2 linked regions of the Canis lupus familiaris genome follow. The protein of the gene in region 1 interacts with the protein of each later gene in a pairwise test. Links are inferred from orthologs where the notes say so. Each region holds a gene or a part of one and is shown on either strand. Other genes may lie near its edges.

Region 1 (5,912 bases):
AGCCCTGCTGTTAATTGTAAAGGAAATTTTATAACAGCCTTGTGAGAACAATGGGGAAGTTGATTTGTTAAATGAGAGGAATTAATGGCATACTGCTTAAGTTTTTTGTGACCTCAGACTTTGGTTTGAAACCAGCTTGTTTCAGTTTCTTGCTTGGTAGACTTCTAATCAGTAATATGGGGTTCACAAGTGTTTTCTTGTAGTTGTGAAATAACATAGTCAAGTTAATATGCTCATAGCATAGTCTCTTTGAATGTTAGGTATTACTGTAATTTATATATTGTAAAAAAACCTTTTTTTCCCCCCTCTCTCTAGGCTATGGTGAATTGAATGGTAATCCTGGAGAAAGAGAAATATCTTTAAAGAGCCTGGGTTCTGATGAAGCTACCAACCCTATTTCCAGGGTGCTCAATGGCAACCAACAAATTGTAGACACTAATTTGAAGCAGACTGTAAAGGCCAGCACCTTTGGGAAAGCAGGAATTAAAACCAGGAATTTCATTCAGAAAAACAGTATGGACAAAAAGAATGGGAAGTCTTATGAAAATAAATCTGGAGAGAACCAGTCTGTAGACAAGACCGATACTGTAGCAATTCCAAATGGTGTTGTAACAAATAATTCTGGCTATATTACTAATGGTTATATGGGCAAAGGAGCAGATAATGATGGTAGTGGATCTGAGAGCGGATATACCACTCCTAAAAAAAGGAAAGCTAGGCGCAATAGTGCCAAGGGTTGTGAAAACCTTAATTTAGTGCAGGACAAAATAATGCAACAAGAGACCAGTGTCCCAAACTTAAAACAGGGACTTGAAAATTTCAAGCCTGACTACAGTGAACAAAAGGGAAATCGAGTAGATGGTTCAAAGCCCATTTGGAAGTATGAAACTGGGCCTGGAGGAACAAATCGAGGAAAACCTGCTGTGGGGGATATGCTACGGAAAAGCTCTGATATTAAACCTGGTGTGAGCAGCAAAAAGTTTGATGATCGGCCCAAAGGAAAGCATGCTTCCGCTGTTACCTCCAAAGAGGACTCGTGGACCCTATTTAAACCACCTCCAGTTTTTCCAGTGGACAATAGCAGTGCTAAAATAGTTCCTAAAATAAGTTATGCAAGCAAAGTTAAGGAAAACCTCAACAAAACTGTACAGAATTCCTCTGTGTCACCATCTTCATCTTCATCTTCTTCGTCTACTGGGGAAACCCAGACCCAATCTTCAAGTCGGTTATCCCAGGTCCCTATGTCAGCGCTGAAATCTGTTACTTCGGCCAACTTTTCTAATGGGCCTGTTTTAGCAGGGACTGATGCAAGTGTATATTCTCCAGGGGGTCAGCCACTGCTAACTACTGCTGCTAATACTCTAACACCCGTCTCTTCTGGGACTGATTCAGTTCTCCAGGACATGAGTCTGACTTCAGCAGCTGTTGAACAAATTAAATCTAGCCTTTTTGTCTATCCTTCAAATATGCAAACTGTGCTATTGAGCACAGCACAAGTGGATCTACCCTCTCAGACAGATCAGCAAAATCTGGGGGATATCTTCCAGAATCAGTGGGGTTTATCATTTATAAATGAGCCCAGTGCTGGCCCTGAGACTGTTCTTGGGAAGTCATCAGATCATAAAGTGATGGAGGTGACATTTCAAGGGGAATATCCTGCCACTTTGGTTTCACAGGGTGCTGAAATAATCCCCTCAGGAACTGAGCATCCTGTGTTTCCCAAGGCTTATGAGCTGGAAAAACGGACTAGTCCTCAAGTTCTGAGTAGCATTCTAAAATCTGGGACTACTAGTGAGAGTGGAGCCTTATCCTTGGAACCCAGTCATATAGGTGACCTGCAAAAAGCAGACACCAGTAGTCAAGGTGCTTTAGTGTTTCTCTCAAAGGACTATGAGATAGAAAATCAAAATCCTCTGGTGTCTCCTACGAACACTTTGTTAGGCTCCGCCAAAGAACAGAGATACCAGAGAGGCCTAGAAAGAAATGATAGCTGGGGTTCTTTTGACCTGAGGGCTGCTATTGTATATCACACTAAAGGTAATTCATTTGTTTTTATATAAAGATTCTTACATAAATTTAATAAGCATTTATTAACTGGTGTATTAAGGGTAAATTTTGGAAGTTTTTATGAGATTTTTTAAGAATTTGGGAACTAAGTTGAGAACAGTGGATAAGCAGTAGATAAATTAATTCAGGGTCTTTGGAAATAGTACTATTTAGAAGGAATGTTCACTTTCAACTTCAAAATGTTTATATATTCACACAAACACAAAAGTACTTGACTTCCTATACCTGCTTCAAAGAATGAAGAGGGATGGGTTGGTGCCCAGAGGGATGACATATTTTCTCATGAGTTCTTTTTAAAAATTTTCTTTGAACAGATGTTTCCTCTCCTTTGCTTTTTATATCATGTACTTCTTTATTAGTGAGCTCACTTGATAGTTCTAATTTGTATAAAATGAGTAGGAGCAGTGTTTTTGAGGAGGAGTCCAGAAAGATGGAGTGTCAAACTATTTCTTCTCTTCCAAGAAGGAATAATGCGTGCTAAGTGGTAACTGGAAAATAATTTTGACAATTGCAATGGCAGGCTCAATTAGCAATGTAGGAACCAGGCTCTTGGGGTCTGTACTTTTCATAGCCCCAAAGCCTCTGTTAAAAAAGGAATCATATCTTTCAAGTTCCATGCTCATAACTTTAGAATATGGTTTATTTGTGTCTTTTTTTTTTTTTTTTTTTAATTAAAGTTTATTTCAGAGAGAGTGAGTATGGAGAGGGGCAGAGGGAGAGGGACACGGTCAGACTCCCTGCTGAGCCGGGAATCTGACATGGGGCTCAGTCCCAGGACCCTGAGATTAACCCACTGAGCCATCCAGGCAGCCCTTTGTGTCTTAAAGAAAAATTTACTGTATGGTATAAACTTATTTAAATCCCTACAGCAAATAATGAGTCTTAGTGAATGATGTTTATAACCTTGGTACTTTTGAGAATGGTGGTTTTTTCAGTCTTCCACTTCGGTCTTCCCCTAGTCCCCTAACAGAAATTTATACCCCATGCATGCATATGCACACCTCAGATATGCTGCACATTCCCATTTTTAACTGGCTCATTTAGGCAGAGACTTGGAGCTGCTGGGAAGGGGCAGCATATCAGATAGTGGGGATGAGGTAATTCCCATATTCTCCCTGGAAGGATCACTGCCTCAGAGATGAATAACAAAGCTATTTATGTGACTTTTAAGCAGATTGCCTCCTCTGCATACCTTTCCTTATCTGCAAACTGGAAGACATTAGTAAAATGAACAGATGTCCTTTTCTATTTTTCTTCCTTTAGAAAATGGGAGTAAGTAGTAGTATTACCTTATGGGAGTTTAGGAGTAGAAATCCTGGCAGATAAAATTACCTGTCTGTACTTTTTTTCTCCAGCACTGCTGTTGGGAAGTAAATAAATTAATTAGGAAGTGGATGTTTTTAGGAAAGTTAGGACAAAAAAAATTACTTATTTTCTTAAGACTTGTAGTTAATTATAAGTTGGTTCTGCTGGGGGAGTTGGTGTTTTTGGTGATATTTTCTGTGCTATCTGCCCACCAGAGACCACTACTGGGAAAATCTTTACCTGAATATTTTGTATGGGTAATTAGGAACCTGAAGGAATATCTGGTTACGTTCTTCCACAACCTGCAAAAAAGTTTGGGACAAGATGTTCCATGAAGTGGTTGTTGGCTGGTGTTTTTATATGTTTTTATTACGGAGAATTGTAAGCCTTTTTAAATGGGAGTAATAACTCCTATTTATTTATAGGTATTCTGTATGCATTTTTCCTATAGTGACACTAATTAGATCTGAAATTAGTGGTATTTAAATAAGCTAAATGCCCCTACCTGGATGCAGTTATATTTAGTTTTGCTGATATTACTGAAAGATTTGCTTTAGTAAAGTGCATCAATTTGAGTTTCGTAGTTGGGTATTATTGAGATTTAATTGGTATTGATTGTTTTTTCCCCCCCTAACAATGGTTAATGTTCAGTTCAGTTAGTTCCCAAAGTGGCAAGTTCTTTGAATTCCTGCCAAATGTGGATTGGTTCATTAGGTCACTAATTTCTCTTTTCTGTGAGTTTGTTTTGAACCACAACCTTTTCAAGATCTGAAGAACTTTCTCATAAGTGAAGGCTGGCCTTTTTTTTTTTTTTTTTTTTTTTTTGAGTTGTTTTAAACTCTAAAGGAGGTAATAATCAGTTGGGCTTATTAGACTATCCTTTAAAAGAGCACTTGTATTTTCTTGGTCCTTTAGTGAAGTCTTCTCTTTAAATGTTCAAAAGCAGTCACTTAGTGAGTTAAAGTTAGGCTCAGAAATAGAGGTTTTTATGCATACCTCCTTACTTTAAAAGTAAGCTCCTCAACAACTTTATTTGGAAATAGTAGATAAGAGAGTGCTTAGTGTCAGTTGAGCAGGAATGGTGCATTTTTTAGATTAAACATTAATTACTTGCAGCCTTAGAAATACTGCAGATCCTTTGAAAATCTGAATATTCAGTACATTTGACGATAGGAAATAAAGATACTATGAGGCATAAAAAAGGGATTGGTGGGAAATCTAGTTCTTGGGATTTTTCTTTCAGCTTTTGATATATATTATGCTATTAATTTTTCTTAAGAAATGGGAGGGTTAATCTTTTTATTATCTAGGGGAATATTGTACCATTACATAGCAGTATTAATATTTATGGTGAGATGTAAGTCCTATTTTCTATTTCTCTCAAATGGCACTTAAGGGGCATTTATTACCTTAAAGTAATAGCTTTTTAAATTAACTATGAAAAAATTGATACTCAAAAGTGGAACCTATAATGAACCTCAATGTACCCATTGTCCAGCCAGAACATTTAGAAAGTATTCATTCTTGTTTAACCTATCTACCTTCGCACTTTATTTGGTAGGAATTTCAAAAGCAAATTCCAGGTATCCTAACATTTTGCTAGTTGATACTTTGGTTATGTTTGAGTGATAGCTTTTAATGCACCTACCCAGGACATAGAACTGTTACCTCCTTTAAAGCATTTACTTTTCAAAGGCTTGTAACACTAGACTCAACTTTTTGAGGTGAATCTTTGGTTTTGAAATGGTCATTTGAAGTCATTTGATTCAAAAAGTCCTTTGAAGACAAATCTGTTGAAATAAGGTAGGTTGATGTGAGTCGTGTGTTTGGTCAGTGTTCATTTAAACCAGGTTGATTTATCTTGCCTAACTAATACTGCACGGAACTTCATCAAGTATTCAGTGCTGATATTTTGGAGTATTTATTAAAAAATAATTTAATATGGTAAATTTTACCCAGTATGTAGAGATGCAAGGGAGGATGAATAAAATAAGAGAGAGGGCAGCCTGGGTGGCTCAGAGGTTTGGCGCCGTCTTCGGCCCAGGGCATGATCCTGGAGACCGGGATCGAGTCCCATATCGGGCTCCCTACATGGAGCCTGCTTCTCCCTCTGCTTGTGTCTCTGTCTCTCTCTCTCTCTCACATAAATAAATAAAATCTTTAAAAAAAATAAAATAAGATAGAATTCTTGATGGTTGACGTGGATCAACATGACAGTTACCTAGTAAAAAATATCCTTGAGGGAACACTAGGCTTTAGTATGAAACTTTAAGAACTTGTTTCTGTGTTACTTCTATAGGTTATTAGCATAAATGACTTGAGGCACTAGATGTGGGCTATACTCCGGATAAAAATGTAGTGGTTCTCATTGCCAGCTAGGATTGGGAACTCTTGAGTCTTAGAGAGCTTTCCTCAGTTTAATCCTACTTTTCTGTTTTCTGCCAGAGTTGTGCAGTAATATACGTGTGTGTGTAGTGTATGTTTTCCTTTCCCTTATAATATAGGCAAAGTACTTTGCTTAGTTATATAAGACTTTGGCA
Region 2 (5,912 bases), on another chromosome or scaffold:
CTGTGAGTAACACCTCAGAGGCCCCCCTGTGCCCCTGGGAAACATGGGGACAGACCTAATCATTACTCCCACCTCTACTCCAAATAACAGCTGGGCACGGGAGACAGCCGCTTGCACGCAGGAAGACGTCCGGCCTGGCTGAGAGCTAGCCACCTATTAGCAAAGTGGAGGCTTCCTTGCAGGTCAGCTCACACTGAGCCCACAACAGGCCCATTTCCAGACAGGCTAATGTTCTGCTCATCATGCCAGGAGCAGGAGGCAGGTTCCTGAGAAAATCGGCCCTGCAAGGATGGGGCAGGGGACCCCTGGGCTCTGGCTCCAGCATAGCAGCCTACTATCTGAGCCTACCCGCTGGGCCCTGTCGCAGCCTTGGGGTCACTCCACAGGGGCCAGCGCCTGGGGGACACATGTCGGAAGCCCGATGGCTCACCCCAAGCAGCCCCTCCAAAGAAATGCACACGAAGGCCCACCAGGAAAGGGAAATGCTGAGGCTCAGGTGCCCCATCTGCAGCCGTAAGCCTGAGGCCCTCCAGAAGGCCGGTGGGACAGAAAACAATGGCCCGCTGCCCCCCTCTCTGCCCCTGGCGCACCCCCGTCTCCCAGTGCCTCTAATCAAAGTGCACACCCAGGTTTTCCACAGCAGGGTTGTGTTGTTCCTCACCACTCATCACTTTTGGGAACCATGTGTCTCTCCTCTGGGTCTTAGCTGACGTGAGCTCCAGGAAGACACAGCCCCTGGCTTCCATCAAATATAATCAAAAAGCTAAATACACCCCCCAGGTGGGAGCAAGTGGGGCTGCCTTATTGTCCTGGTAGAGGAGCTATGCTCCAGCCACAGCAAACTATTCTGTACTCGCAGTGTCCTTTCCACCCCGGTCTTCACTTCTGCTGTTTCTTCCACTTGGGATGCCATTTCTCAGGATCCTACTCATCCCTCAGTTCTCAATTCAGGGGCACCTGAGTGGCTCAGGACATGACTCCGGGGTCCGGGGATCCAGGACCTCCCTCTGCCTATGTCTCTGCCTATGTTTCTCATCTGATAAATAAAACATTAAAAAAAATACTAGATTCAAATGTGGCCTCCATGAAGGCTTTTTTTATTGACCCCTGACATAAGACATCACTGCCTCCCCTACTTCTGTAGGGCCCATGGCTCTGGCCTTAACTTGGCAATGATTGTTATTCCAGCACATACGGTGTTCTCTCTGTCCAGGTCTACCTTTTCCACCAGATGACGTACTAGGAGAATAGCCCCCAAATGTCAGTCCTCATCCTCGGAACTGGTGGCAGCATCAGGCTACTCAGTAAAGGAAAATGAGGTAGCAGGTGGAATTTAAGCTGCTACCCGGCTGACCTTGAGATGTGGGGGGATTACATGAGTGGGCCCAGTGTCATCACAGAAGTCCTTAAAAGCAGAAGAAGAGGCAAGAAGGGTCAGTCAGAGAGATGTGACAACGGGAAAAGAAGAGATCCAGAGCCTGTGAGGGACTTAACCCACAGTGGTGGCTCTGAAGATGGAGGAGGGGACCACGAGGCAGGGGATGAGGAGGGAAAGACCTCTACTGACAGCCAGCAAGGACCTGGGGGCTCCAGTCCTGCAACTGTGGGAAATGCCACGGGAATGCAAACTGGTGCAGCCACTACAGAGAGGGATCTGGAGGTTTCTCAAAAAGTTAAAAATAGGACCACCATATGGTCCAGCAATCCCAATTTTGGGTACTTATCTGAAGGAAATGAGAGCAGAACCTCAAAGAGACACCTGCACTCCCATGCTCCCTGCAGGGCAGTTCACAAGAGCCAAGACGTGGAAGCCACCAACGTGTACATCAGCAGAGGAATGGATAAGGTGGGTGAAGATGTGTTTATATCAAGGTACACACGCACACACACATATTCATACACATGCACACTCAGTGGGCATTTTCAGCCATGAGAGAGAGAGAAGGAAGTCCTGCCATTTCCAACACCATGGATGGACCTCGAGGGTGTTACGCTAAATGAGATAAGCCAGGCGCAGGAAAACAAATCCTGTACGACCTCCCTTATATGTGGAATCAAAAAAGCCAAACTCATAACAATCGTGAGTAAAAGGGTGGCTGACAAGGGCTGGGGTCTGGGAGAGGCTGGTGAGGGGAACAAAGTCTCGGTTATAAGTTGCGTGCGTGCTGGTACAGCACCGTGAGGGTCGCTGACACACTTGGAAACTGCTAAGAGAGCAGATCTCACATGTTCTCACCATAAGAAAAGAAAGGTGACTATGTGGTGTGACGGAGCTGCAGCAGGGGCTGCGGCAGCGATCACCGTGATACGTACGCGTGTCACACCAATGAGTCCTACCTACACCTTGAGCTCACACAACGTGGTGTGTCCATTGTATCTCAATGTTTCCAAAAAAAGGAAGTGGATTCTACCAACACCACCAGTGAGCAGGGACAAGGAGTCTCCCCGAGAGCTCCTCGAAAGGAGCAAAGCCTTGCTGGACCTCCATGTTTGCCTGGGAGACCCCCATACAACCTCCGACCTACCAATAACATAGATAATGATCCATAGATCACTGAGCTGGGAGATACATTTTTGTTGTTTAAACCACTACATCTGTGGCCATTGGTTACAGCAGATAGGAAGCGAATGCGGAGAGCCCCGGGGACACGGATCCGTGTGGCCCTTCCTGCCCCCTCGCAGGACTGCCCACAAAGGAGGTGATTGACCAAAGGCCATTCTTGACACCTTCTGTGGCCCTGTTTTCTTCCACGATCCAGGCCAACACAGATTTCATTATGTCGAGCAACGGCCGAGACAGACATGGCCCTGTCATCGGGTCTATCACCAAACATCCCCCACCCCAGCGCAGGATCCTCGGAGGCCCCGTACCTAAACACTGTCCTGACGAGCGGTCCAGATCGAAGCCATTAGTGCATTGTTGCTGCAGGCAAGGAGAAAGGAGACAGAGGTGAGCTTGTAGTCCTTCGTTTTTTTTTTGTTTGTTTTTTGTTTTTGTTTTTGTTTTTTTAATATAAAAGTATTACAAGGATATCACAGAAAGTTCCAGAAATGAAGTAAAGGAAAAAAAAAAAAAGCATCTGTAACACCAACACCTATTATAAGGCCTATTTACCCCCATTCTTCTTAGTATTTTTTATCATCATTGTACACTGAGCATCACTCTTTAACCCCCGCCCCCCACGTCATTGCTTCAAAACCCCCAATTGTAGCAGATTTGGGGGCTATCTCCCACTGTAGCTATGAAGGGCAGTAACCACACTTGGTCTGCATGGTGATGAGGCACATCTGTATTCATCTCTTTCCAAGAATGGCTACAACTGCGGTTAAGGGCGATCACTCTTACCCCAGGTGCTATGTGACCCCTTGTCAGGGACTGTGGTGAGCACCCTGCCTGCTGTGACATCCCCTCCCTGCACCCTCCACCCTGAAAGCTGTACACACAGCAAAGTGGTGGGTTTGGTAAGAAAAGCCGACTTGGGGAAACCCCTCTACTTGCATCTCGGCACAACAACCACACAAAGATGCTTCCAGAAATAGGCCTCAACAGTCCCCAAGGGTCGTGGTCTTCACGTGCACCTCAAGGCACAGCTTTACGGCCTCAGAAAAATGTCATGGGGCCGACAGATCTCGGAGGCGAGGTGGAGAAGGAATGCTTCTGACCATGGGGATCCCCTCCCTGGCCCTCCCTGCAGCTCCCAGGGCTTGGCTTCCCAGGGCCATGGGCTGGTGCTTGGAGATGATGGAGTCAGCCTGTATTCATGGGAGGGCTCTGGAGGCTCAGGGCCTCAGGGCCTCAGGGCAAAAGAAAGGGAGCTATGAGCCAGGAGGCTGTGCCATAAAGCTCGGGAAACCGCGAGACGGATGTCCGGGACTGGCTTACCCACTAAGCGCCAGTGAGGGCTCAAAGCCACCAGCCTGCCCGGCATCAGCCTCTCACCTACAACTTCCTCTGCCTTTATCTCCTCACCCGTGAATGGGGGTGACAGTGCCTCCTTCCAGGCGGTTCCAAGTGTCAATGTTTGCAAAGGGCCTAACATGCACCGTGCAGCCCAGGACCCTGTCCTCCCTGGGCCTGGATGTCACCGTCTGTCACCGTGAGGCTGGACCACCAAACTCCAAGGCCCCTCCAAGACCCTGTCTATCCCTAATAGCCTGAATCTATTTTGAAATTCGTAATTTGAAGTGAAAAAAATATACTCCCCCACCCTTAGCCCTGCTCCGTGGTGAGGCCTCACTCATTTCTGAGCTAGAGTTAGAGGCCGCTCTGAGTTTTCAGGAGGGATGTACCCACAGCCCCCAAGGCTAACATAGACATGGCTTCGTAAAGTCCGGGCCCCCACCTGAGCCTCCCCCCCACCAGCCCTCCACACTCCTGCCAGGGGCTTGGCCCAGACGCAGGACCCCCATCCCGCTGGGGATGCGCGTCTATGGAGACACAGTCCCACATGGGCCACGTGCACGAAGGGCACCGCCGCCCCCAAGCACCACAGCACCTCTGACTTCTCAACACTGACTGTGAATCAAGACCTGAAAGACATCACGGAGGCAGCGGATCCCATTCCCAGTCTCAGATTAGGGATCAGAGGCCTCAAGTCACAGCCCTGCCACTTAAAGACGACGACGTTGTCACCAGGGGCAGGCAACCGCCTCTCAGAGCCTGGCTGCCCCCTGCATGCAGGGGTGGAGCTCAGCTCAGGTGAGCTGTGGCGCCCCCTCTGCCCCCCCCCCACCCTGGGATTCCAAAACGCAGGGCTGGACACCCTCATTCCGATATTTAACATGCTTCTAGATAATAAACAAAGTCAAAATCATACCTGTGCCTTCCCAGGGCTCAGAAGACAGACAGCCAGAATGGTAACGGTGAGAATCCTGCGGGGAGCAAGAAGTTGATACATAAATACCCATGATCGTTCCAGAATCCAGGTCTGGGAACAAACATGGGTCTCACGCTGCCCATGATCCTGCAATGGGGACTCCACCCTGTGTATTTATGGGGGGGCCAGGTCAGCAGGCTCCAGATGCCCCCGATCGCCCCAAACAAAACCACGCCTCTTCTATTGGTTTCGAGTGTTGGGATAATGTGTAAGATGACTTTTCTTTTTTAGGTAAAAGGTTTTGCTGCTTCAAAGAGAAAGTCTGAAACCCACCCCTGTGGCATGACCAATGTACTGACCGACTGCGCCGTCTCTACCTCTCACACAAGATTTGCCTGAGGTTGGAACGTCTTTTTCCTGAAACGGATTCAGGAGTGACCAAGCCCACAGCACCCTCGAGGGAGGAGGCAGGCACCCACGTGAAGCACTCGAGCCCTGGGGCACACGGGGGTCGGCGGGAAGTCCCCTAAGCCCAGAGCTGCCCGCAGGCCCGCCGCCCCCAACCTCCCCGAGCCTGCACCTCCCAGGCTTCGGCACCCACGAGCTTCCATCCAACAAAATCGTGGTGGCCAATATGCCTTAACCTCTCAGTGTAGATGCCACCTTACATCTGTCAGCATGGCTTATAATCAAAAGAGCAGAAACAGGGGCCCGGGGGTGGGGGTGGGGCTCAGCGGTGAAGCGTCTGCCTTCAGCTCAGGGCATGACCCCGGGTTCTTGGGATGAGTCCCACATCGGGCTCCCCACAGGGAGCCTGCCTCTCCCACTCCCTCTGCTGCTTACCCTGCTTGTCCTCTCTCTGTATATAATAAAGAAATAAAATATTTTCTTTAAAAAAAGCAGAAAACAGCACACGTTGGAAAGGATGTGAAGCCACTGGAAGCCTGTGCGCAGTCGGTGGGGAAGTCTGATGGTGCAGCTGGGTGGTAGCCGCCCGGGAAATTAAAACTGCATGTACCATAGGCTCCAGCAATTCCACGCCCTGGAGAACACGCAGACGAAGTGCAAGCGGGGCCCTGACGGGGTATCCACACA

Evidence for each region.
Region 2: the proteins of NUFIP2 (region 1) and FBLN5 interact in binary tests that used the Homo sapiens proteins (3 or more experiments, as listed by UniProt). The link is inferred for Canis lupus familiaris from reciprocal best matches to the Homo sapiens genes NUFIP2 and FBLN5.

Annotation. Positions count from the first base shown.
Region 1 is NC_049230.1:43,371,941-43,377,852, reverse strand, and holds part of NUFIP2 (nuclear fragile X mental retardation-interacting protein 2), read left to right. Parts: intron 1-315; coding exon 316-2,037; intron 2,038-5,912. UniProt on the Homo sapiens protein: Binds RNA.
Region 2 is NC_049229.1:1,288,055-1,293,966, forward strand, and holds part of FBLN5 (fibulin-5), read right to left. Parts: intron 4,873-5,912; coding exon 4,818-4,872; intron 2,924-4,817; coding exon 2,872-2,923; intron 1-2,871. UniProt on the Homo sapiens protein: Essential for elastic fiber formation, is involved in the assembly of continuous elastin (ELN) polymer and promotes the interaction of microfibrils and ELN. Stabilizes and organizes elastic fibers in the skin, lung and vasculature.